Alligator mississippiensis: one gene and its partner. The main gene of each other region encodes a partner of the protein of the gene in region 2 in a complex. Links are inferred from orthologs where the notes say so. Each region holds a gene or a part of one and is shown on either strand. Other genes may lie near its edges. The genes, in order: ASB7 and LZTS1.

Region 1 (12,090 bases), on a different chromosome or scaffold from region 2:
GTATCACCTACCTGCATGCCGAGCTGTTGATTCAGTACCAGGAGAAGAGTGCCATCTACCGGGTCACCAGGAAGGATCTGTCAAGTAGGAATAGGGGCTTAAGTCAAGATGAATATCCTGAACTGTCCTTGTTTGCACAACATGCTGCAGTGCTGGTTTACCTGGAGAAAATGCACACAACTTTCCTTTCAAAGTTATATTAAATGAGAGTTCAATATGCATAAGAGCTTGTTTTGACTAAACAGACACCTTTCCATACTTTCACAGCTCTAGACATACCAGCAACTAGCCTGCTTGTTTTTTACAGCCATTCCATATACTAACGGCATTTTTAGATAGCTAAAGGCCTTAAAAAAGAAAACAAGGTGTTCACACTTCACTGAATTAGAGAACAATAAAGATTCCAGTCCTGTAAATGAGTTCTACCGAAATCAGTGCGACTCTGAACCAGCAGCCAGATTTGTCTATACAAGTGATTCTCAACCAGGGTCCCACAACATTCTTAAGGGTGCAACACAATATTTATACTGTTAAGTGTGCAAACACCTACAGAGGGTTCACAAGATAAGTCCTGAGACTTCAAATAGGGCCTCAGACCATCAAAAACATTCTGACCTGTTGTGATCTGAGGTTTTTTGCAATAGTGGAATTCAGGATCAAATGAACCTCTCTTGCACAGGGGCTCAAGTGGAACACCGTGCCCACAATGGAGGGCAAAAATGAGCCCTTAATACAATTAAAAGGGACAAAACAGAGATGTTAGATATCTCCATTTTCAAAACTGGTCTGTAATTGAGTATCCTGAGACCAAAAGTTTGCTTTTGAGATGTGCTGAGCACCCAACAGTCCCATTGAAATGGATGGAAACTGTAGATACTTGCTGCTTTAGGACATCAGGCTTGTCAAAAATCACCAGATGAGCTACCCAAAATGATGTCATGTCTACAAAGCTGGGTCTAAAAGCCTGCACATATTCCCAAATATATATATGAAAGCCACTTCAGTGGGAAACCAAAACATGTTTTAACCATACAAACTGCTTCCTGTCCTCGCAGTGGCAAGGCATGGATAATGCTCTGCTCCCCCTGCTTTAAATGGGGCAAGTTAAAGGATGTTTTTGCCGTTTAAGGTATTGCGCACATTTGTGGATAAGGGTTGTTTTAGCGAGATTAAATCAGGGGGCAGCAATGTTTTGGGGCAAAGTGCCAAAAACATCCACAGTCTTGACTTGTAAGATGTTGGCATGGCATGGGTGGACAGTGGGAGAGCCGCAAAGGGCCTGATCCTTGCTGTGGCAGCATAGCCCTGGTCCCTTCCTGAAGTGCCAGGCAAACTGACAACCAAAATGCCTGTGCGCACCCCACTCTGGCACGCATGCTGGGGCTTACCTAGCCTTGGGTTACACAAACACTAACTTGCCTAGGATGGTTCAGAGTAGGGGGTTGGATTAAGTGATCCCCTGAGGTCCCTTCCAATCCTACTTTCTATAATTTTTGGATAAAAAGATGCTTCATTGAATTTGTTATTGAAGATATGTTTTAAGTATCATATTTTCTTGCATGAAATACAAACCCAAATAAAACATGCACCTTGCTTTTGGATGGCCAACTTTGTGACATCAAGTCCTCCTACAAACAGAGTGTCTCAGGAAGTATGGCACCCCAGAAGACAGCCTAGGTGAGGCTGCAGACAGCAGGAACTCACCCAGGAGGACTTACTGTCACACAAAGTTAGGCCCCAGGCAGTTCCTATAAACACAGTGCTGTTTCCACACCATAAGCCTCATCAGGATACTACAACAGCTTACTCTCTGGTTCAGGCATGAACTACAGTGCACAGCTAATAGCTACAGCTGTGAGAGGGTTCGCACAGGTGCCCCTTTAGTTTGCTGATCCAGACAAACAACAATCATCTTGGTAGATGCATGGCATGCACAGTGTTTCCAGGCTTCCTTCTTTACCAGCAAAAAAATAAATAAAAAGAACAGCTTCCCTGCTTAATAGATCCCAGTTTGGAGGGGGAACGACACTGATTTTGGGGGCAGGTATATGTTATATACAAGAAAACACAGCAGTACCCCAATGATTTAATATGCTTACAGAAAGAAGGTACTAAACATTTAATGGTGTGGACAGACATAATGCTTAGCATGTTCTACATACACTTTAAGACCCCAGAGTCTACATGTGCACAACATTTAAGATGGGTGTAAGCTTTCCTAAATGTTTTAAAAGCACACCAAGGATACCAAGTCCTGTTTTAAGCTGGTCCTCATGAACCAGCATGTTCGAGTCCAGACACAGAGAACTTCATGCTTAGTGTGTGGTCAGTCCTTCAGGCAACCCCAGCTGTACCACCACTCCTCTCCACCCCCAAACACATGCAGGGCAAGGGGATGCTCTGGACTGCATGTAGGACTACTGCCTATAGAGACCACAGCCTGCAAGGGTGGGGAAGCAGGAAGCCTCTGTCATTTGGCTCATCTGGGGCATGGGGTGGGGAGTCTGTATCACACCCTGCTTATAGTTCTAATGGGGGCTGGCTGCCCCGCCCCCCCATCCCCAAGAACTGCAGCTTTTCAACCTCTGCCCTGAAAACTAATTTCACCAATTTCATTTCCCTGCATGGACCCTGTGTTGCAGGTCCCAGATTAATTTGGAGTGGGGGGTGAGAATGAAGAGGCTGCCACGTGGTTGGGGGAAGCTGTAAACCCTGCTTGTGGTACCCAGGAGGCTGGGTACTCTAGGGGCTCCCCAATATCTTTGCTTTTTTATTTTGGCAAGACTCGCACTGGAAAGTCAATGTCACTTCCCTGCACAGACCTTGTGCTGTAGCTCGCAGGTCCATTTGGGGCATGGGTTGAATAGAAAGATTACAAGATGCTAAGGGGGGCAGGAGTGACCCCTGCTTGTGGTGCCCAGGGGGCAACATGCTCCAGCCCCACCTCAAAAATCTCCTTTTTTAACTTCATTGCAAAGCATTTTGTTGATTCATTTCCCTGCAGGACCCCGTGCTGTGAACCTCAGGCTCATCGGAGGCAGAGGGTAGTGGAGGGGTTGCCAGGTGTGCAGCCCCCCTGCTTGTGGTTCTGAGGGGGCTGGGTGCTCCAGGACCACCCCTTCCCCAGCCAAGAACTCTGCTACTTTTTCAACCCCTGCCCTGGAAAGCCACCTTGTTGGTTTTACCTCTTTATGGACCCTGGGCACCACAGCCCCAAACCTGCCTGGCACCACAAGCAAGGGGCCACACAGTCATCCCCACTTTCCCCTGCCTAGCACTTGGTGGGATTGGAAAGGTAGCCACCACCCCAAAAGAACTCCAGGCCTGCAGCTGCAGGGTCCATAATGGGAAGGTAAAAATGACAAAATAGCTTTTTCGACAGGCATTGAAAAGGCACAGAGTCCTGGGAAACATGAGCAGGGGGAGCACAAAGCTCCCCCTACCCCCCCAGCAACCCCCCCCCCAAAATCAATCTGGAACCTTGCAGCATGGGAAGGGGAAATTACCAGAATGCTTTCCATAGCAGGCAAAAGGGGAGATCCTGGATTGGGCAAGTGTGCCCACCCTCCCCCCCCCCCCCCAAGCACCAAAAGCAAGGGTCACTTAGCCCCCGCATCAACACCTAGCAACCCTTTCACTCATTTCCCCCCTCCTCCCCACCCCAAAAGGAGCAAGGGACCCAGTAGCTTCAGGGCTTCTATGCCCTGGAAGGTGAAACAGCTTTCAGATAAGGGGCTAAAAAACTACCAAGTTCTTGGGAGGAATCCCTTGAAAAACCCACCAGGAACTATGAGCAAGAGGGTCACACTGGTGCCACATTACCTGGTAACCCTTCCACCCTGCACCAGCCTCCAGCCCTATACGAGTCAGGGACCCCACCAAGTGGTGTCTAGGCTTTTCTCTCCCTCTCCACACACCTGCAATCCCTAAAAGGTTCTATGCAGAGCCCTCCCCTTCAGCAGTGTAGGTGCAGGCACCTCTGTCCAGGGACAACCATGAACCAATTTGCAACCCATGACATTTTTGGAACAGTCCAATTGTCATGTTAGTCCACACGCTTAAGGTCAGAGAAGCTATTCTTTCCAAGCAGCTCTAGGTAGTCACGCTGCTATGCAACAACACCAACACCTTTATGCCATAATTACAACTACTCCTGTTTAACAGCAATCTATGCCATAGTGATTTCCAGGTTTGCAATACTCAAAACTGCAGGGCTGTCTGCTTAAAAAGAACTCTTCTTCTATGGAGCATGTTTAGAGCTTGCCTTTTAAATCTGAGACAGCCAGCCAGGTACAGTCCTAGACTGATCATTTTATTACTGGTAGCAAGTACTTACTAGTTGGGAAAGAGATAATCAGTTTCTTTTTCCCAGTTTCTCCTTTTTTATTCTTATCTCATAAAAAAAGGGAGCAGTCTCTAACAATTCCCTGAACATCTATCCGTTATATATACAAGTACATAGCAGCAAACAAAACAATGCAATTTACTTATCGTTAATCATGGCTTATTTTGACTGGTAGTCTAAAAGCGTGACAAATATTCTGCTGTACCACTCGGCATACGCAGTGAATTTTTTAGCCTATCATCTCTAAGCAGCTTCCAAAGTACTTCCCCTTCCTTTGTTGTATTATCCCTCAATCTGCCATTAAAATTGCCGTGTAACCTTGGAAAGTCATGTAACCTATTTATACATCGGTGTCCACTTTTGCACTGTGCATGTGCAGAAGCTGAGAGAGTCAAGTGACTTTCCAAGGTTACAGAGCAACTTAAATGACAAATTGAGGCATAGAACCCAGACTCCTGACTACCACAACCTGCCCATATTTTGTCTCAGACAGAATTGAAAATTGGATGATAAGGCAGTGTGTGCTATCAAAATGTGTACATTTGTCACACAGATTCTCACGTATTTTTTTGGAAAATATCATTCAGCGAGGTCTGACCTGTAGAAGCTAGAACTTTACCAAACCTTGGACATGATGACACTGGAATACCACATTATTTTGCTGTCTACATGTCCCATTTTCAACACAATTAGTCTAAAATATCAGATACTTCTATATTCAATTGCAGAATATACTTAGCATTCTATATGGAATAGAAATTATAATCTAAAACTTCATACAATTTCTTCAGAACTCAGCTTGTGGCTAAATTTATACAAAGTACTGTTCCCATCTTCAAGGTCTATTTCTACCTAAATGAATATACAACAGAATAAAATTACATTTCCGCACATTTACAAAGGGTTTGAATAAACACAACTGAATGACTGTTCTGCATGTGACACGAGTAGATCTCTTGTGTAATTTATACGATACAGGGATGCTGTTCGGGTGAAAGACTGAGAACTCCTCTAGGGCACGCACTAAGAAATTCTACCTTTGCAACAGGATATTGGCTGTGCTTTACCTGATCATATCTTAACACATGTAAGTGGCAGCATTAAGATAAAGAACGTTTTACAAATGCCTATAGCATGTCCCAAACAGGACAACAGTTCAGAAGGGAAAGAAAAGATAATAATTAAGAAAGAAGTGGCAGAGATTCTTTAAGAGGTGGGTATTAAGCATCTGAAAGAGGGAAGGTACCGGAGGATGAAGACAGATGGTTTCAGGATAGTAGCGGGGGAGGGTAGTACAAGATGGCATGAAGCCAAAGTGGGGAATAAAGAAGCAGTAGCATGACAGCAAAGCCATGTTAGGAACAATGTCTTTCAATTTTATCTATTATTTTTTGTATTTTGACAGGATCAAGGTTGGGAACCACTAAGCAGGGCAAGTCCAGCACTGTACCTAGGCAGCCCCTGTTGAACTTTTAGTATCGCCCCCACCCCCGCCTTTGCCAGAGATAATGATCATAATAACCAAAAAATTACCATTTTCGGGCTCCCTTCCTGCCTGGGTCCTGAGCCGCCCATACCAGTGACTGGCACTGGGCAAGTCTTACAATCCAAATGGACAAGACAGGTGACAGCACGACGTCAAATAGCACGTTAGTGCCATGATTTTTTTTTTCCATTATCCTTTAAAAACCAATAGCAAAAACTAATCATTGCACAGTGGGTAGGAGAAAGCCACTACCCTCCTTCCCCTTCTCCCTTCCTTAAAGGAAGAGGAAGGAAAAAAAGAGACACTGAAAGAGAAACAGGTACAAGGTTGCAGACAAAAGCCTTGGAGGGAAGTGGCTTGAAACTGTTCTCAGGAATATCATACACCAGGCAAAAGAAACTTAAACAGGGGGTCACTATAGGCAGTCCTCGACCTAAAACGTTTCAAGTAACAACGGGTGGCACTTATGACATTTATAAATGGACTTTCTGACGTCAGTTTTGACTTTATGACGCTTAATCCGACGTCACGCCAGCGAACAAGTTCGCTGCATCGCCCATCTCCCTGGAGAACATCTATCCACGCTTCCTTGGACGCTTTCCTTACGAAAGCAGACAAGACTCCAGAAAAACCTGCAGCCAGGACTCCTGAGAAGACCCCCCCCCTTCAAAAACACCCAACCGAGAGCCCGCCACAAACTCCAGCAAAGCCACCTCAAAGAAGTCTTTCCAAATCAGTATTGCTATTGACAACAGAAATACATTCACGCAGCTATGTTACACAACTATAATTGATCAAGTACAATATCCTGTATTATTCTGGGGGAAAATAAGAGTATCGGGCCTTGGTTCAGGAACCAATCCCCCCTTTATAACATGGTTTCCTTTGGGAAAATCAGTTCTGACTTACGACGTTTCGACTTGCCGCACCCGAGCACTGCCCGTACCCCCAAAACATCCCTGAAAAAGACTGGTCAAGTCCACGTACCTTTCCAAAAGGAGGACATTTCGCCTTATATCTGCACACAGAAATCCGCTTTTTTTATGAAGAATGGTGAAATTGTCCCGCACTGTTTCCTACATTCGAAAGAAACAGCCATGATCATTATTATTATGATTTTACATCACACAAAGCACTCAATCATTCCCACGTGCCCCGTTATTCCCTCAGTGAGAGACGTGGGGCTGGCAGGATCCAGCCCCTCCCCCGCAACCCAACCCCAAACTCTACATTTTTTAATATATTTTTTTTTTTTAAAGAAAATGTTTCTCGTTTCAAGCCAAATCAATTCCACCTCCGAGGCCCGAGGGAGCAGGAGCCAGGGCAGCCCTAGGACGCGCGAGCAGAGGTGGCAGGTGGAGGCCGCCCCCGCGACGGCCTCCAGGGACCCCCGCCCTCACCTGGCGCCTAGGCCGCGCCCGCGCACGGTTGCTAAGCAACACCCAACCGGGCGCAACAGGGCCCAATCCTCTCCCCGCGACCGCTCCGCCGCGACCGCCCCTTCCCCCGCGCTGTCGCGCAACCCCGCGGTGCTTTACGGCCCTGGGCGGAGCCGCCCGGCCGCCGCCAGCCAACCCGGCGCCGCGAGCCCTGACGGCGAGGGGCGGGGCCCCAGCGGCGGCTCCCCATTGGCTGTCGCGGGGGTCAGTCCCGGCCCGGTGACCCCGGAGTGAGGGGCGGGGGGGGGAGGCTCAGTGCAAAGTGTCCCCACAACCCCCCCCGCAACGGCTGGGTCTGCGGCTCCCCCCGGCCCTGCGCGCTGCCCGGGGGGGGAGCCGTCGGGGCCGGCGCCGCCTCACCGCATCGCAGGTAACGGCCGTTCGGCCCGCCCCCCCCCCGGGCTGTGAGGGAGACGCCCCCCCCTTACCCCTCCCCCACTCCGGTCTGCGCCCCCTCCCCCCCCCATGGTGCTGCCCCCTCCCCCCCCCCATGGTGCTGCTTCCTTCTCTCCCTTGAGCCCCTGTCCTGTTATGCCTCCATTGAGGGGGATCATGAAGGACCCCCCCACCCTCCCTCCCTCCGTCAGCATCTGTGAGCATCCCCCTTGCCCTGCTACGGCTGCCCTCTCCTTCCCCCTGTCCAAGGAGAGGCTGGTGCCTTCCCCTGCCTCGTCTCATGCCCCCCCCCCACCCCGAGGTGTCTCCGAGCTTTCCTTCCCCCGAACGCCCGCCGCCGAGCTCTCAGCGCTGCCCTTTCTCTGCAGGTGCGAGCTGCCTCGGCGGAGGAGCCCGGGAGCCCGAAGGGGATGGGAGACCCAGGAGCTGCGCTCGCTGCTAAGGTGATGGTCCGCTTTGCGTACGCAGCGGCGCAGGAGCCCGACCGGCCGGGGTCGGACGCCGTTCGCGTCAGGTTTGACTCGGTGATGTTAGCGTTTCTTCGTGCTCCAAAAACGGTCCGCTGTTCGGCTCGGAAAGGTCGACGACTTCCAAAGCAGCTGGGGGGAAATGCACTTGCTCCCCTCCCTCTCCGCCTCGCTCTGCGCTTCGCGTGTAACGCCCCACAGGTTATTCCTCGTGGTCTGCAGCGTCCAGGCCTTTTTGTGGCCTCCCCCTTTAGGGATTTCATAAATGATGTGCTACTGGTTATTCAGTGCCTCTCCATATCCGAAGTAAAAATTGAGAAATCACGTTCCTTTGCTCGATTCCCGCGCACATGCGCCAAAGACTTTGTCCATGATAATGGCAGCGATTCCCAAAGCCATAGCTGGACTAGGCCAGAGTAGCTGCATTCGTTTATTTATAGCTGTCTCTAATTTTTTATTTATGCCAAATTTGCATGCGCACAGGGTGTTGCGACTCGCTTGTGAAAACTGAATAACGGTTAATGAACGGTCTGTTTAGAAATGCGAACGTCTGTGTGTTAGCCCATGCAGATTTTATCACCGAAGGATCGAATATTGCTTGTTCGTCACAACGCGAGACTACCTATTTTTACGCAAAATGCAAAAATATTGTGTTGCCAACAAATCACAAATTTAGGTAAAATAGAGGATGGCAGTGGGAATAGGGAAGATTGCTTTAATCTGCGGGAAGGAGCTAGGTTCAAATTTTGACCTACCAGAAATAGTATCTGCTTAAACGCATGTCGTCATCATCATTTGCATTCGTTCCGATGGCGTAAGGCATCCCAACATAGACCTGGTTACAGTAGAGCCATCTCGCATATGAAGTATTCCCGTTGTTGGTTGGTCAGTTAGTTTCTACAGTGCGTTAATAGTATGTGGGACTTCACGGACAAAGAGCGACATCCCCTGCCTCAATTTACTTCTAATGTAAATAAAGAAGTTGTGTTGTGATTTGATGACTGGACAGCTATAAAGGTTAGGGGAAGAGTAGGGAAAGGGTGTGTTATAGCAATTAGATTGTGTAGTTGCTTTAGTCAGCAGTGTGTTTCTTGAGAATTCATGACTTTTAAGTAAATGCTGCTACTCTTGGGGCATGGCTAAGTTTTTTTTTTTTTTGGCTTCCTGAAATGGGAAAATGTGTCTTAAAGAGTGGGAAAGAGAGGACTGGGTAAAGAAGCAAGTTTATCATGAAAGATGAGGGAGGGAATAAGATGATGTTGATCAGTCTTCAAGCCCAGACCAGGTACCTTTGAAAATTTGAAGACGACAGGTGGAAAGAATCTCGCGTGTTGTGGCTCTCTTAGGATGGAGTTCTTATTTGTGACAATGTCAGTGTAATTGAACCCACTTCAAGAGCTGTGGTTGACAAGGTAGATGAGTCCAGACTTTTTTGCAATTCTCGAAAATGTACTTTGTCATCCGTGTTCTAAAATAGTACTAACAAGACTTAGTTACTAATGAAGGCTGTGCCAGAATTGTTTTGAGTCCTCTCTGCAGAGGAGGAGCTAGGCAGCACTTGTTGGTAACAACCTTGGTCAGCAATTGGCCGTTTTCCTAGTGCAGATGGATTTCTTAGTGTATGGTCAAAGGTAGTAGTTATATTTCAATAGCTAAAGAGAGAACTCCCCACTTACATTTAGAAAACAAATTTGTAAAAGTACAGTGAAGCAGCATAGGCACGTCGTCATTGTTTATAGTGTACTATTAAAATAGTACATTTACTGCCGTGGAAAATGGTGGCTGGATGTATTCACTGTGCCTGCGGGCCCGTCTGCATGAGGGATTGTTGTATGGATATGGCTACACTAGTCAAAACCCTAAAATAAATGTACCTCTTCAGTTCCAAATCAGGGCAAGAGTCATTTAAAAGACTTGCTTTAAATCCCATGCAAGTGAAGTGAAGGCTTAGTGCTGCACTCTGGAGGGAGTGCAGTACATTACAAGTATAGATCTTTCCTAGACAGAAGGGACTTCCAGTTTTACAGAGTTATTTGTACTTTGACCTGGGTTTTTTCTGTTTGCTTTGAAGCTATAGAAAAGCATCTTTTGCTTCTGATGGACTGTAAACCTTTTAAGAAAACTTCCTGACTGAGAGATTGCATCTTCTGTTGTAGAGACCATGGTATTAGCTTGCAGAATGGCATTATCAAAGTGAAAAACTGCTTTGATACATAAAGTCACCTGTTATACTGTTTCCACTCGGGATACTCTAAAATAAGAGCAAGAACAAACAGAAAAACATTACTTGATATATTTAGATGGAACCAATTATATGAATATAGCTTATTGTTATTCGGCCTCATCAGCTAAGAGAGAATATTGTAATTTGGCTTGAAGCATCCAGTTCTTCTCTGCTTTCTTCTCTTAATGTCATTGTTCAGATAGTTCAATGATAGTAAGTGATACAGTCATGTTGGTTCCACTGGAAATGACAAGAAACTTCAATTTGATTGTGAACTCTTTGAGATAGTCATACTCACGCACAATTTCCATACCAAGAATTTTCCTTGTTTAAGTAGTAGCTCAAAATAATCTATGTAACCTTATTTGGCCAACATAATACTTCTGTTAAATAAGAATTGCATCACTGTAACATAGAAGAGAGCGTGGCCCTTGGCACCTTTTGTCTAAGGATCTTAAGGAGTTTTAGGGTATGTCTACCCCAGGGTACCGGTGTGTGCAGGCCAGGCAGTTCTCAAGCATACCCCACCCATCTGCTCCCAGTTGCACACTCCAAATCCAGAAGTGTATTCGTGAAACCACTTGAGGATCATCTCCACTGGATGTCCCCAGCACCTTGATTTGTGGCATACTTGAAAATGGTCAGTGGGGGTCTGCCTGAAGCAGTTTGACAGATACAGGCAGGAGCAGATGGGTAGGGAGTGCTTAGGAACAGTCTGACAGGGTTATGTTGCTGCTATAGTGCAGATGTTCCCTCTGCAAGCCAGGTTCACCCTACAGACTCTCATGGCAGGCCTGAGGGATGAGTGTGCAGCTTCAGAAAGCTGCTATGACGTCCCTTGCACCAAATGAACTGGAAGGGCCCAGTGCAGTCCCAAACTAACTGTCTGGGAAGAGTTTATAGTGTATGACTTCCCTTAGTGTTTCTACTAATGGACTTCCCATCAGTGCTGATGACTTCCCTCAGGAGCTATGAGGGAAGTTAGCAAAAGGGGAGTTTCCTCCAGCTCTTCCCCAGTATGAGGGTATAATTTACTAATTCCTCCATAAATTAATCCTTATGCCACTTTTGAGATCTAGATAAATACATAGGTTTTGCTGAACTTGCCATTGAAATGCAGATACCTGTAGAGGGGAATAGCACAACAGCTGTTCAAGACTGTGTAGCAACACTCTGCCGCAGTTTAAGGTGAGGAAATGAAGAACACCATAGCCAATTAAAATTGCTGGGGAAATTTAAACAAGCAGAAAGTAATTAAAGGAGCTGGAATTTTTCAGGGCTGTGGGATGGCAGTAGTTCTGTTTCTTATGAAAAGTATTATGAGATGTTTAGTAACCTCCTGTGAGGATCTAGGGTTTTTCCTTGTCCTTACTTTGAAAGACAGCAGTGAAGTGCTCCTAATCACATCTTGATGGATTTTTTTCACTGTTCCTTGGGAACTATGCAAATAGATCACCAAGAAACATCTCCTTTCCAAGTACTTGACTGTCACCAAGCTTGTGATCCAACTGGATCATAGCACAGATTAACTGCCATAAGGTGCAAGTAGGATTATAATGTGTTGTCATCTCCTCCTTCTTTGCACCTCTGAAAATGGGGCCTGTTATTATGGCCATTGTAAGTGGCTGACATTTGCTGGCTCACTTCCGGTAATGATAAAAATGGGTCCTGAGAAGAGACTGTTGGACACACCTGCCACTATTTTCTGGTTTTTTTCTTTTTAAAGGGTTGTG
Region 2 (11,325 bases):
ACGTGAAGCTGAATCAAAGCCTTGTTAAGATGAGCCTGGCAGGCTCTCTTCCTTTGGCATTTATTCAGTGCATAAGATTGAATCAGTGTCTGGAGTGATGGCATCAGGAATTCAGATAGTGCAGCCTCATTAGAACTTGGGTTCCAGGTGGTGCACTCTGCAGAGATTACATTTGCTCCTACTTCCACTCACCACATCACCCAGCAAGAAAAACAACTTCCCTGGCTGTAGTTGAACAATATTGGACTTAACTAAACACACGCTTGCTCATAGAGAGGGGATCAGGCCTTGTTCTCTCACCTAGAGTGAACTGGGTTTCAGTAGACTTAGGTCATAATGGCAGTGAGTTCAGCAAGCTCAGTCTAGTCCTTGGTCACTTGTACTCATGGAAAGGAAAAATACGTTACATCTCAATGGGCGGCCTCTGGGTGAGAGGGATCCAGGTCTGAAAGAGCAAATGCACAGCAGGTCTGAGAGACACCGGCAGAGCTGTGATGGGGCTCAGCACCACAGCAAATGCTGCATTTAAAGGGGTGCTGAGTTCTGAAGGCAAAGGACAGGGGCTACTGCAGGTTGGGACCGACGTGCAGGAGCCCAGGGCTGGCATAGCAGGAGGTGCTGTCTGCCAGGAGGGAGGCTGGATGAGCTATGCACATAGGAATCTTATACAGAGCTTACCCACACTCTGCCTGCCCCACTCCAATGCTGCCATTCACATCAAACATTTACTGAATCTGTCCAAACATTTCCAGCGAAGAGACACTCTACAGACCACAAACTCCGACTGGGCACAGAAATTCCAAGGATGCTGCACATCACAAACCCACTAACCAGCTTCACAAGGAAGAAAACTATCCGTGCTCAGGGGCATCCAATCTGCTAGAGGTCAAAGAGAATCAGGATCCGGACCCTGGTCACTGTTTTGCAGTGGCCAGCTGTCACGACAGCTGGAGAAGGTGATAGCACCACTCGCTCTCAGCAACCTAGAGCTTTCCTCTGTCATGATTTATTTTCAAACCCTTGAAAGAGCTTTTATAGATGAAATTACAGGAATCGAGGTCAAAAAGTCATCCCTGTCCTATCCAGCCTTGTCATGCAAAATCCGCTTAAACCTTACAGATAACAGTCCCCTTAAAACTTACAGATAACAGACACCCCAACATGTCTGTGCACCCACACACCAATACCAGTCGCACACACATGCACATGCGAGCATACATAATCGCAGCATGCCAGCAGGGACAAATGTGCAGACACACACAAACACGCCCACACATATATGCATTTTTACAAACACACACATGCACAAGAACACATGCATACGTGCACACACAAAAAAATACTGAAGTAGCAACAATAACACCTGCCTGCATGAGCACACAACACATGCACAAATAAATACTAAAATAGTAACAATAACACTTAGTTGCACACACACACCTGTGCAAATACCAAGATAGCAATAACAAGATAAACACGCACATGCACACACTAACATGATAACAATAATACCCTCTAGCTCTTATATTTAAAGGCACATGATTATGAATACAAAAGTCTACCTACTTTCTGTATCTCTTCTAGACCCCCACATAAAGACATCCCTGTAACCCAAGCATCCATATCCTCACCCGCCTGGCTTCTCACATACCCCTAAGAGACACCGTACAAGCAGAGGCGCACACAACAACACATCCAGGCACACGGATACCCTTACCACCACACTCACACTGACAAACAGAAATCCAAACATCTACAGCAACAAACCCCAGCTCTTCCCCTGTCTTACACTGCCCCAACACACATGGACCCGTGCATGTACATACACGGAAACAAGCCACAATCCCTCACCTCCTCACAGGCTTGCTTCTTCACGCTGTGCACTCGCATACCCGTGCTACCCGCCCACTCACTGCCTCCAACTCTCAACACATGCGTGCACTCTGCCAGCAAATCATTTCTTATGCAAGAAATGAATCCTTTTCTTGAGTGCAGCACTGAGCCGGGAAGAACAAAATGAGAAGTCTTACTGCATGGCTTGCTCTTAGACAGGGTATGGACACCCATCCAAGGTAAAGCAGAGCGCTGTGTAGCTCCCCTTCATGCTACCTGAACCAAACAAACCTGGAGGTGCTTCAACAGGCAGGATTTTCTCCATGAGGAAGTTCCCAAAACTTAAGAGCAAAGAGAAGGAAGAAGCCGAGCCAGGGATGCTGGGATTCAGATCTTCTGGCTGTTCCCATGGGGCAGATCGCACTGAGGAATCAGCACTAGACGGTGCTCTTTGCTTTCAGACCTCTTCTGGGCAGTGCGCAGCTAATGATTTCGTATTGGGCGAGAGCCACACCTGGCTTTTTTGTAGTCTCTGCCTCTCTTTGTGCCTGAGCCGCGTGTGCTGTGATCTGAAGGCACTGTGTGCTTGGCACCACACTGACATAATGCTGCACAGGAGACGCTCATGGACCAAAAGCATGTGGCATGTGTTGTTATACACCCGGCATGCCATGGGGGTGGTCAAGGGGTGTGTATTGTGTGCAGAGGGCATACATGTGTGTGCTGCATGTGCTGTGCCCCTGGTGTGTTGCATGTGTTGGCAGTGTGTGCACAGGAAGAACATGTGTGCATTGCATGTGCAACATCCGTGGTGTGTTACACGTGCCAGGTATGTATGGGGGGACCACATGTGCATGCGGCGTGTGCCATGCCCATGGTGTGCTGCATGTGCAGGCCGTGTGTGAGTGGAGAGCACATGCATGCATTGAATGTGCCATGTCCATGGTGTACTGTGTGTGCAGGTGGTGTGCACAGGGAGCACATGTGCCGTGCCCCTAGTGTGCTGCGTGTGCACGGGGAACACCTGCGTGCATTGCATGTGCCACCTCCAGGGCATGTTGCATGCGCAGGGTGGGTACAGGGAGCACATGAACGCATTGCACATTCCATGTCCCTGGTGTGTTGAGTGTAAACAGACAGCACACACTGCATGTTCCACGTCCCTGGTGTGTTGGGTGTACATGGATAGCACACGTGTGCTCACTGCGTGTTCTGCATCGCTAGTGTGTTGTGTGTGCACAGACATCACACGCATGTGCACTGTGTGTCAGTCCCTGGTGTGTTGCGTGTGCACAGACAGCACACATGTATGCAGTGTACGTTCCATGTCCATGGTGTGTTGCGTGTACACAGACATCACACGCATGTGCACTGCATGTGCTGCGTCCCCGGTGTGTTGCGTGTACACGGACATCACAAGTGTGCGTTCTGCGTCCCTAGTGTGTTGTGTGTGCATGGACAGCACACATGTGTGCACTGCGTGTCCGTGTCCCTGGTGTGTTGCATGTGCACTGCATGTTCCACACCCGTGGTGTGTTACGTGTGCACGGACATCACATGCATATGCACTGCGTGTTCTGCGTCCCCGGTGTGTTGCGTGTACACGGACATCACAAGTGTGTGTTCTGCGTCCCGAGTGCGTTGTGTGTGCACGGACCTCACACACGTGTGCACTGCGTGTCCGCGTCCCTGGTGCGTTGCATGTGCACAGACAGCACACACGTGTGCAGTGCATGTTCCGTGTCCGTGGTGTGTTGCGTGTGCACGGACCTCACACACGTGTGCAGGGCATGTTCCGTGTCCGTGGTGTGTTGCGTGTGCACGGACCTCACACACGTGTGCAGGGCATGTTCCGTGTCCGTGGTGTGTTGCGTGTGCACGGACCTCACACACGTGTGCAGTGCATGTTCCGCGTCCCTGGTGTGTTGCGCGTGCACGGGGATGGCACATCCCTGCTGCTGCTGCTGCAAAAAAAAAGGCTGGCGGTGTGACCCCCTCCGCCCGCCCCGCCCCGCCCCGCCCCGCGGAGCCCGGCCCGGAGCTACCTGTGGCCCGGCCCGGGCGTGGGGGCGCTCCGTGCTGCGGCTCCGGCTGCGGCTCCGGCCCCGGCCCCGGCCCGGGCAGCGCCGCTCCATCGCGGCCGGGAGGTGGGGCCGGCGCCGCGGACCCGCTCATTGGCTCGCCGCAGCCCCGCCGCGGGCTTTGTGCGGGGTGACAGCTGCGAGCGCCCGTGTCCCCCGCCGGGGCCCTGGCGGCTGCAGCAGCCCCCCCCCCCCCTCCCCCCGAGAGCCTGGGGACTGGAGAGCATCTCGGGGGAGCTGCAAAGATGCCCGGGGAAGTAAAGAAGAGGTTTGGCCCCCATGCGGGCACCTTCCAGGCTTCGGAGCATCCCTGCTTCACAGCACCCGCAGCCCCAAACCTTGCAGAGTGGCACAGCACCCTCCTAGCAAAGCCAGCCGGGTCCTGGCCCTTGTACTGTCCGACCGGGAGTATGGGTTTTAGGCGAGCGACCTGTCCCCTCTGCTTATTTGGGGGGGGGGGGGTGCCTGTTCCCAAAGGGTTAAATCCCTCCAAAAATCTGCACAGCAAGAACATTTCTCACTTTGGTGTCAATGGCAGGGACCAAAATCAGCCGAGTAGGACAGGCAGGACAAGTAGGACAGTCGGGTGACCTGATGGTAGGCTGTTTGGAGGTGTGCGCCTTTCCCCAAGGGATTAAATCTCTCCAAAAACCGTCACAGCAAGAAAAATTCTCACTTCGTTGTCTTACAGCAGGCATAAAAATCAGCCGAGTAGGACAGTCGGGTGACCTGATGGTAGGTTATTTGGGGGTGGGTGCCTGCCCCCAAGGGGTTAAATCCCTCCAAAAACCTGCACAGCAAGAAAAAAAATTCTCACTTTGGTGTCTGCTGGCAGGCACAAAAATCAGCCAAGGAGGACGGTCGGGTGACCTGATGGTAGGTCACCTCCTGCCGATAAATCAAGTGGGATGTTATGGTTCTTTCCTTTATGCGGGGAAGGGAGCCCGAGGCGCACAATGATATCATATGACAACAGCATCTGAAGTCTCAACAAAGAACAAGGCTGTCCCGTGCACTAGGTGCTGTACAGATGTGCAGGGAGACACGCAGGGGAGTGACCGTCACTGCTCTCTAGTGCTGAGAGTCCAGTCAGTCTGACATGCATAAGATACCGTGTTAAGCACTCTCATTTGGGGGTGTTTGATAACATGTGTGTTCATGCCTGTTGTATGTGTGCACAACGATATCTGTGTTTGCACTGTGGTCTAGCTAGTGTTAAACTAGCTCACACAGGCAGTCTAGCAATAGCAGCACCAAGCTCGAGGTGTCCTGCCAAACTCACCTGAAAAGCACAGTCAAGTGCTTTTGCACTGAGACCTGCACTACAGGGGCCCACTACGGCTACCTGTGTCGGCTAGTTTAAAGCTTTCTTAGGCAGCTCTTAACCCCGCTGCAGTGCCTGCCATGTATACATACCTGCTGGTGATGTGTGCGCGTGGGAGGGTGTTCAGGGTTGTGAGCAACTCTGGAATTTGCTATTCAGCAAGGTGAGTGCCCCAAGCAGTAATTAGCCCTGTCTGTTCTGGAGCTGAAATGCTGCAGCGTAATGGGTGGGTGTGTTCAGCAGTTCACCTACCCGCTTAGCTAATGCAGCTCTTTTCTCCCTTTGTCTGGGCAAGCTCAGCCTCCTGACCCCTCCTGCCCTCGCTTTTCATTACTGAATGGCACACTGCTGCAGAGATGCAGGCAGCAGCTCCGAGCAGCTTGGCTACATCACCGGGATTTCAACCATCCTACACGACAGGTTTCGCCCTAAGTGAAGATGCTGTTGTACTGGCCAGATGGTGGTTTTGCCAGCCTTGCTTACCTGGAGCACGGTGAGGAGGGTACCAGTATGCAGCTTTGCCAGGATAGCTGCTTCCACGCAGGGAGCACTGTGCTGGTCTAGTATGTCTGTCTCTCCCACGCACAGTAAGATGAGTTCCCTCCCTTCTTCCCCCTCCTATGGAGCCGACCTGTTTGTAGTTGATAAGCTGACTTAGCCTGGTGGAATGTGCTGGGTAGCCTGCAGCACATCTGGACTTGTACCGTGCACGGCAAACTGCCTGACTCTCAGCCAGGTATGCAGTGGGAGGGCTCTCTCCCCACCTTGACTGCACACCTGCAGCCCAGGAGGAAGGGATTTTTGGGGGTTTTTTTAGTAAAAACATGTCTGTATATATATGAGGGTATATATAGCTACACTCCGAGTATCACCCCGAAAAGAAAACCGTAACCCATTACCAAAACTGCCTATGCGCAGCCCATGCACTTGTACAAAGGCCTGCTGGCCACCCGGCCCCATTACAATATCTGCATCGCATGCTACACACACAAACAACTTCTGGTCTCTCAGACCAGGCCACCCTTTTCTTTTCTCCTGCACCCCGCTTGCGGGGTCACATACTCAGTTCACTTGTTGTCTGTGTCTCTGTCATGAGGACCTGCTGCTGCTGTCACTGCCCTCAGTTCAACTGGTCTCTTCCTCACTGTCACCACCCCCTTCTCTGCTAGTGGGGAGTTGGAAGATCCTATGCCACATGTCTCTGTGGGTGCCCATACAGTGCCGATTCTCTGGTTAGCCAGTTGTTGCTGGTCACTGCTTCACAGAGCTGCTTCATCCTTTTCCATACCCCTTTGGCACAGGTGCAGAGCCAGAGCAATCGTCTCGGTGGCTCTGTGGCAGTTCAGCCACAGGCAGCTGGGTCTCCCCAGCTGACCCTCTCTCTCTCTGTCTCCAAGCCCTCACTGACCAGTCCTTGTGGTCTTTGCACAGGTCCTTGTGGTTGATGTGCTCCCACAAGACCTGGCACATGTTGCATGGGAGCAGGTCCATGGGCGATGTGGTGTCCCTCAACCTCACTGTCTCCTGGATCTTCTTGTGGTTGTTCATGGTTGCACTCTGCAGGCCATACAAGCTGGGGGACTGATTTAGGATCTCGTAAAACCACAGTGCACCCATGATCCACGGCTTGTGGTTAGTAGGGGTGAACACCCCCAGTGTCTCAGGATGTACCCTGCAAAATATCTCACCAGGCAAGTGGTTTTGGATTCGCCAGCTTGCAGATCTGGCTCGTATACTTGGCCAGCAGGAACAGGAGGATGTCTGGCATGCCCCTGCCCCTGGCCCTCTTGTCCTTGTGCATGGTCTTCCTGGTGACCTTTTCCCATCTGGAGCCCCAGAAGAAAATGCACACGGTTCTCTGGATCCTGCGGGCAACACGCTCGGAAGCGGGGGAGACCAATGTGGTATACAGAAGCATTGGCCGCAAAGCCGCCTTCACAAGTGCGGTGTGCCCCCCTCCTTGGAAAGGGAGCGCATGTGCCAAAGCCCCAGTCTCTGCTTTAACTTTGCCTCTGTCTTCTCCCACGCTGTCCTGCCGCTCAGATCAGGGTTGAAATCTATCCCGAGGATCCTGACCCCTTCACGGGGAACAGAGACCCCCAGGGACTCTCAGGAAACAGTTGATCTGCACTTCACTGCTCACTTCTGTGTTGAGGGTCTTGATCCAGCTGACGAAGGTTGGGGGGACTCCCATCTGCTCCAGCATCTGGAACAGGAACCGGTGGGACACTGTCATAGGCCTTCTTCAGGTCCAGGTTTAGGACGGTGATGCTCTGCCCTCTCCCTCTCCAGCTGGAGCGCATCTCTCAGGTGCACCAGGGCCCCATGGATCTGACGCCCTGGCACCCTGCACAACTGGTCCTTGTGGATGACTGTGCCTAGGATGGATTTAAATCACTCAGCCAAGACTTTGCCCAGCAGCTTATAGTCAAAGTTCACGAGAGTGATCAGCCTCCACTTCTTCAGCTCCTCCCTCGGATCCTTCTTGTAGGAGGGTCACGAGGCCCTGAAGTACGGGCCAGAGTCAGCCCTGACTTCAGTGAGTTTTGGAGCCAGTCCAACACATCAGCTGCCCTTGCACTGAGTTTTGCCCCCTGCCACAGTAAAGCAAAGCACATCTCATCTCTTCACAGTACCTCTGGCACAGCAGGTACCTCGAGGAGTTGTAGCACCAGAAGGACCCAATGAGCAAACCAGCTGTACAAGCCTAATATTATCCAAAGCTGCTGTGTGCTAGGAGTTTGTCTCTGATGCTTGGCCCTGGTTAGCTCCAGAGTGCTGTCTTAGGCTCTGTAAATGTGTACACACACACATGTGCACGCACACACGTATGCTAGTGGCAGAACCTGTAGATGGCCTCAACACAGCAGGGTGAAAAAGGGGAGGTGGGGCTGTGCCACTGCCATGCCTAGGAATGCAGGAAATACAGTTCATCAGTGCCAGAGATTAACATAGGGCTTGTCCTTGGCTAACCAAAGACAAGCCATGCTGCAGGCAGTGCTCACCTCTTTTCGAAAGCCAGGTATACTGCTTTATCGCTCTTTCCTGCTAAATTCCTAGCCAGGAGTTTGGAAAAACCTAGCAGGTTCTCTGGAATCTGTTCCAGGTTTGGCCTACCGAGCACCAAGCAATGGCTTTGGGAGTCCTGCACGTGTTGCATGAATATAGGGGAAATGAAACCTCGAGGAGCAGAAACCTGATTCTCCCTTGCCTTACATTAATGCAAAACAGGTGCAAAAAAAAAGCTACCGGATCAGAACCCCTCCTTTTCCTCCACACCAGGGGCAGCATTTTCCAGCAGCTTTGCCAAGGTGTAAATAGTAACACAGAAGATGTGGCAAGGAGGAATAAAGGCCATCACTCATGTCCCTTGCTGTCAAGCCTCAATGCTTTGACTCAAAGCGTTCCCACAGACTGATACTGCTTTCTGGCAGCTCATTCAGCCTCTCTGCTGATTTGTGCAATATTCCCACAATGCCATGTGTGCTGCCTGCTTGCCTTGAAAACATTGAGCTGGAATTTGCTATTTTAGGACCTAAAACTGAAGGGAGGGGGGAAGTATATTAATGTGAGCGCAGAGGAGGGAGTGAGCAGGATGGGGGGCGCATTATGATTGATTTCCAGTTGAGTGGAATTTAATATTCCCAGAACAAGCAGAAAACAATACTAGAACCCAAAACCAAGAAACGTCTCATGCCAGCTGGGTCGGTGGTCAAGTCACTAACATTTCAGAAATTGCTCCAAGTTTGACAGGGCACCAGTGGCCTAAACTGCACTTGCACCGTTGCATCAGTTGGAGCTTTCCTTTCCTTTTTCGTGTCTTTGTGACAAGGTATTTAGCAGGATTCACAGATCGGCTGGAATCGGACACGACCGCACCATGACCACTTCTGCTGTGGCCTTGAACTTGCGCCTGCGCCACCCCAGCCCCCATTTGGACTTGATTAGAAACCAATGGTAGACAAAACTCTGAAAGGACAGAGCCCTGCAGCCTGGCTCCTGGCATGAGTTAGAGCAACCTCAGAACTGCTTTAACTCACAGTTGGGGTACCCCAGACTCTTTCTGGCTGCCACCCAGTGGATGAACAGCAGCTCTTTGCCCACACTGCCTCTCTGACTCCTGAGTGTCTCTGCTCTTTTGCCTGGCTAGAATTATAGATGTGACGCACAGCCATTCTGGTGACACATCACAGTATTTCCTGAAGGCAATTCCCCATCCCTTTCCCAGCACTAAGGAAGGGTAAAGTAGCCCCAGAGTCATTGGCCTGTGGTTTGCATTGTTAGAAAGGCTCAATGGCTAATTCTGTCTTTGACTCTTATCACACTCTTGTCCCTTGAAATGAATCCTGTCTGGAGATAGAGCTCAAAGCTACCAATTCGTTCATCCCGCTCAAGTCAGAACTTGTCTCCTATCCTTGCCTTCTCAAGCGAGTCACACTATCTGGTATTACCTCATCTTTCAAAGTCACCTGGAAAGTTTCCCAGGGCAAAAGAGCCCTGGAGAATAACAGCAATAAGACTCACAAAGGGATCTGCTGTATTAAAGACTTCAGCGTAAACGCCCATGACTCTTCTTTCCTCTACACAGAAGTTTTTGGCAGATGCTAGAGGCTCCATCTCTGGGGAAACTCTTCCAGCTGAGCAGAGCTGAACAGAGCCATGGAGCACCTTGTTTTGCATCTAGGGTTTGTGCACACAAACAAGGGTTTCTGCCTCTGGGTTTTCAGTGATGGTTAAATTCCTACCAGTAGAGGCATGGGGTTTTTTTAAAGGTTTTTAAAAATGACTCCCCTAAAAGCAATCATATATATCTCTAGTAGGGGTTTCCCTGACTCTCACCACTATGCCAGCTTAGGAACAGATCCATCGCTGTTACAAGGGTAGGGTACTCAGATGCATCTACTGCAGTGAGTGCAAGGACTGAACGCGCTCCTTGTCCTCTCCAGTACAGTCCCTGAGAAAGAATTGTTGGAAGGAGGGGTTACAATGGGCTTTTAATTAAGCTACTCATAGGCTGGGGAGCTCTTGTCTCCTGCATCCATAGTGAGAGGCTGCTAGAAAGAGCACAACATGGAGTAGGAGTTAAACCAAGGCTGTACTGCTGACAGGGCAAGGGCACTTCTCGGAGAGGCAGCAGGTGCCAATTTGGCCTTCTCCCAGAACTTGTGAAAGCAAATGCATTGTAAAAGGACAGAAAGGTGGAAAAGAAAAGAGAGGCAGGAAGGAGCTGGTGATGAGGTGTTGAGGTCTGTCTCCAAAATGGGACTAAATGTTATCATCTCCTGCTTACAGGGGGGTTACTAGGACACAGAGAGGAAGGGCATTATAGGCTGCAAACTCCTGACAGCACATGCATCAGTCACCCATGTGGAGATGCATTCTCCCTGACTCAGCATACCTCTGCCAGCTCCTAGGGTAGACAAAAGTGCATTGGAAAAGCTGCACTTGTGCCAATACAGCTGGTTTCATTTGTGTGGGATGATGTTAGGAAACTGGCCCAAAGCCCAGCTGCGCTGGTTTAGCAGCGCCCTTCCCAAAAGTGCAATGCTGTTATTCTTGAACTGGGATAGTGCTCCTACACCACACATAGCCTGAGCTGCTGGCTTGAGGTGGCAGATCAGATTTGTGGGAGAATCAGGAACAGACCCCCAGTCTTCTGAGTCCAGGTCCAGAGCTTTAATGGTGAGAGCATCCTTCTAAACCCTCTTCTGACATAATATTTTATGGCAGTTCCAGCCTGTAAGTGATGGGCCAGGAAGAAAGTTTCACTCTGGCCAACCATCTCACTGTAGCCCACTATTCTTGGACCTACCTCTGCAGCACCAGAACTGGCCACTGGGCCTGGTACAGCTCTGGTCTGAATCAGTCTGGTTCCTTAATTCGCAATGGACATATAACATCCACCATCTGCTCATAGATTTGGGTCCTTACAGATCCAGACTAGTGTAAGCGGGGAGACAGGAGGCTCCCTCTTCTGACAAGAGGGTTTTATTTAACTGTAGTTTTCTTTCCCTCCTCCCCGCAACCCTAGTATTATTTTGTCTGCTTTGTGAAGCTCTCTGGTGAAAGGGGCTCATCAAAGCTCCT

What was found.
Region 1: the proteins of LZTS1 (region 2) and ASB7 are in contact, whole or in part, in a crystal structure (PDB 8Y1U), measured with the Homo sapiens proteins. The link is inferred for Alligator mississippiensis from reciprocal best matches to the Homo sapiens genes LZTS1 and ASB7. Residues at the interface, in NP_001349813.1 of Homo sapiens: Arg346, Glu348, Leu349, Leu352, Met353, Glu355, Gln356, Leu358, Leu359, Glu360, Lys362, Leu363, Arg364, Ser365, Tyr366; in NP_937886.1 of Homo sapiens: Asn46, Trp48, Ala56, Ile79, Phe82, Tyr87, Met90, His91, Asp116, Trp118, Val123, His126, Tyr127, Ser147, Lys149, Thr151, Gln155, Leu156, Ile159, Arg160, Phe182, Arg185, Tyr186, Ile189, Lys190, Arg210, Leu220, Leu223.

What each region holds. Positions count from the first base shown.
Region 1 is NC_081834.1:7,360,834-7,372,923, reverse strand, and holds the start of ASB7 (ankyrin repeat and SOCS box protein 7), read left to right. Parts: upstream 1-7,481; 5' UTR 7,482-7,640; intron 7,641-8,034; 5' UTR 8,035-8,109; intron 8,110-12,090. UniProt on the Homo sapiens protein: Probable substrate-recognition component of a SCF-like ECS (Elongin-Cullin-SOCS-box protein) E3 ubiquitin-protein ligase complex which mediates the ubiquitination and subsequent proteasomal degradation of target proteins.
Region 2 is NC_081830.1:19,626,448-19,637,772, reverse strand, and holds the start of LZTS1 (leucine zipper putative tumor suppressor 1), read right to left. Parts: upstream 5,844-11,325; 5' UTR 5,722-5,843; intron 3,969-5,721; exon of another isoform or gene 3,879-3,968; intron 2,435-3,878; exon of another isoform or gene 2,125-2,434; intron 1,924-2,124; exon of another isoform or gene 1,852-1,923; intron 1-1,851. UniProt on the Homo sapiens protein: Involved in the regulation of cell growth. May stabilize the active CDC2-cyclin B1 complex and thereby contribute to the regulation of the cell cycle and the prevention of uncontrolled cell proliferation. May act as a tumor suppressor.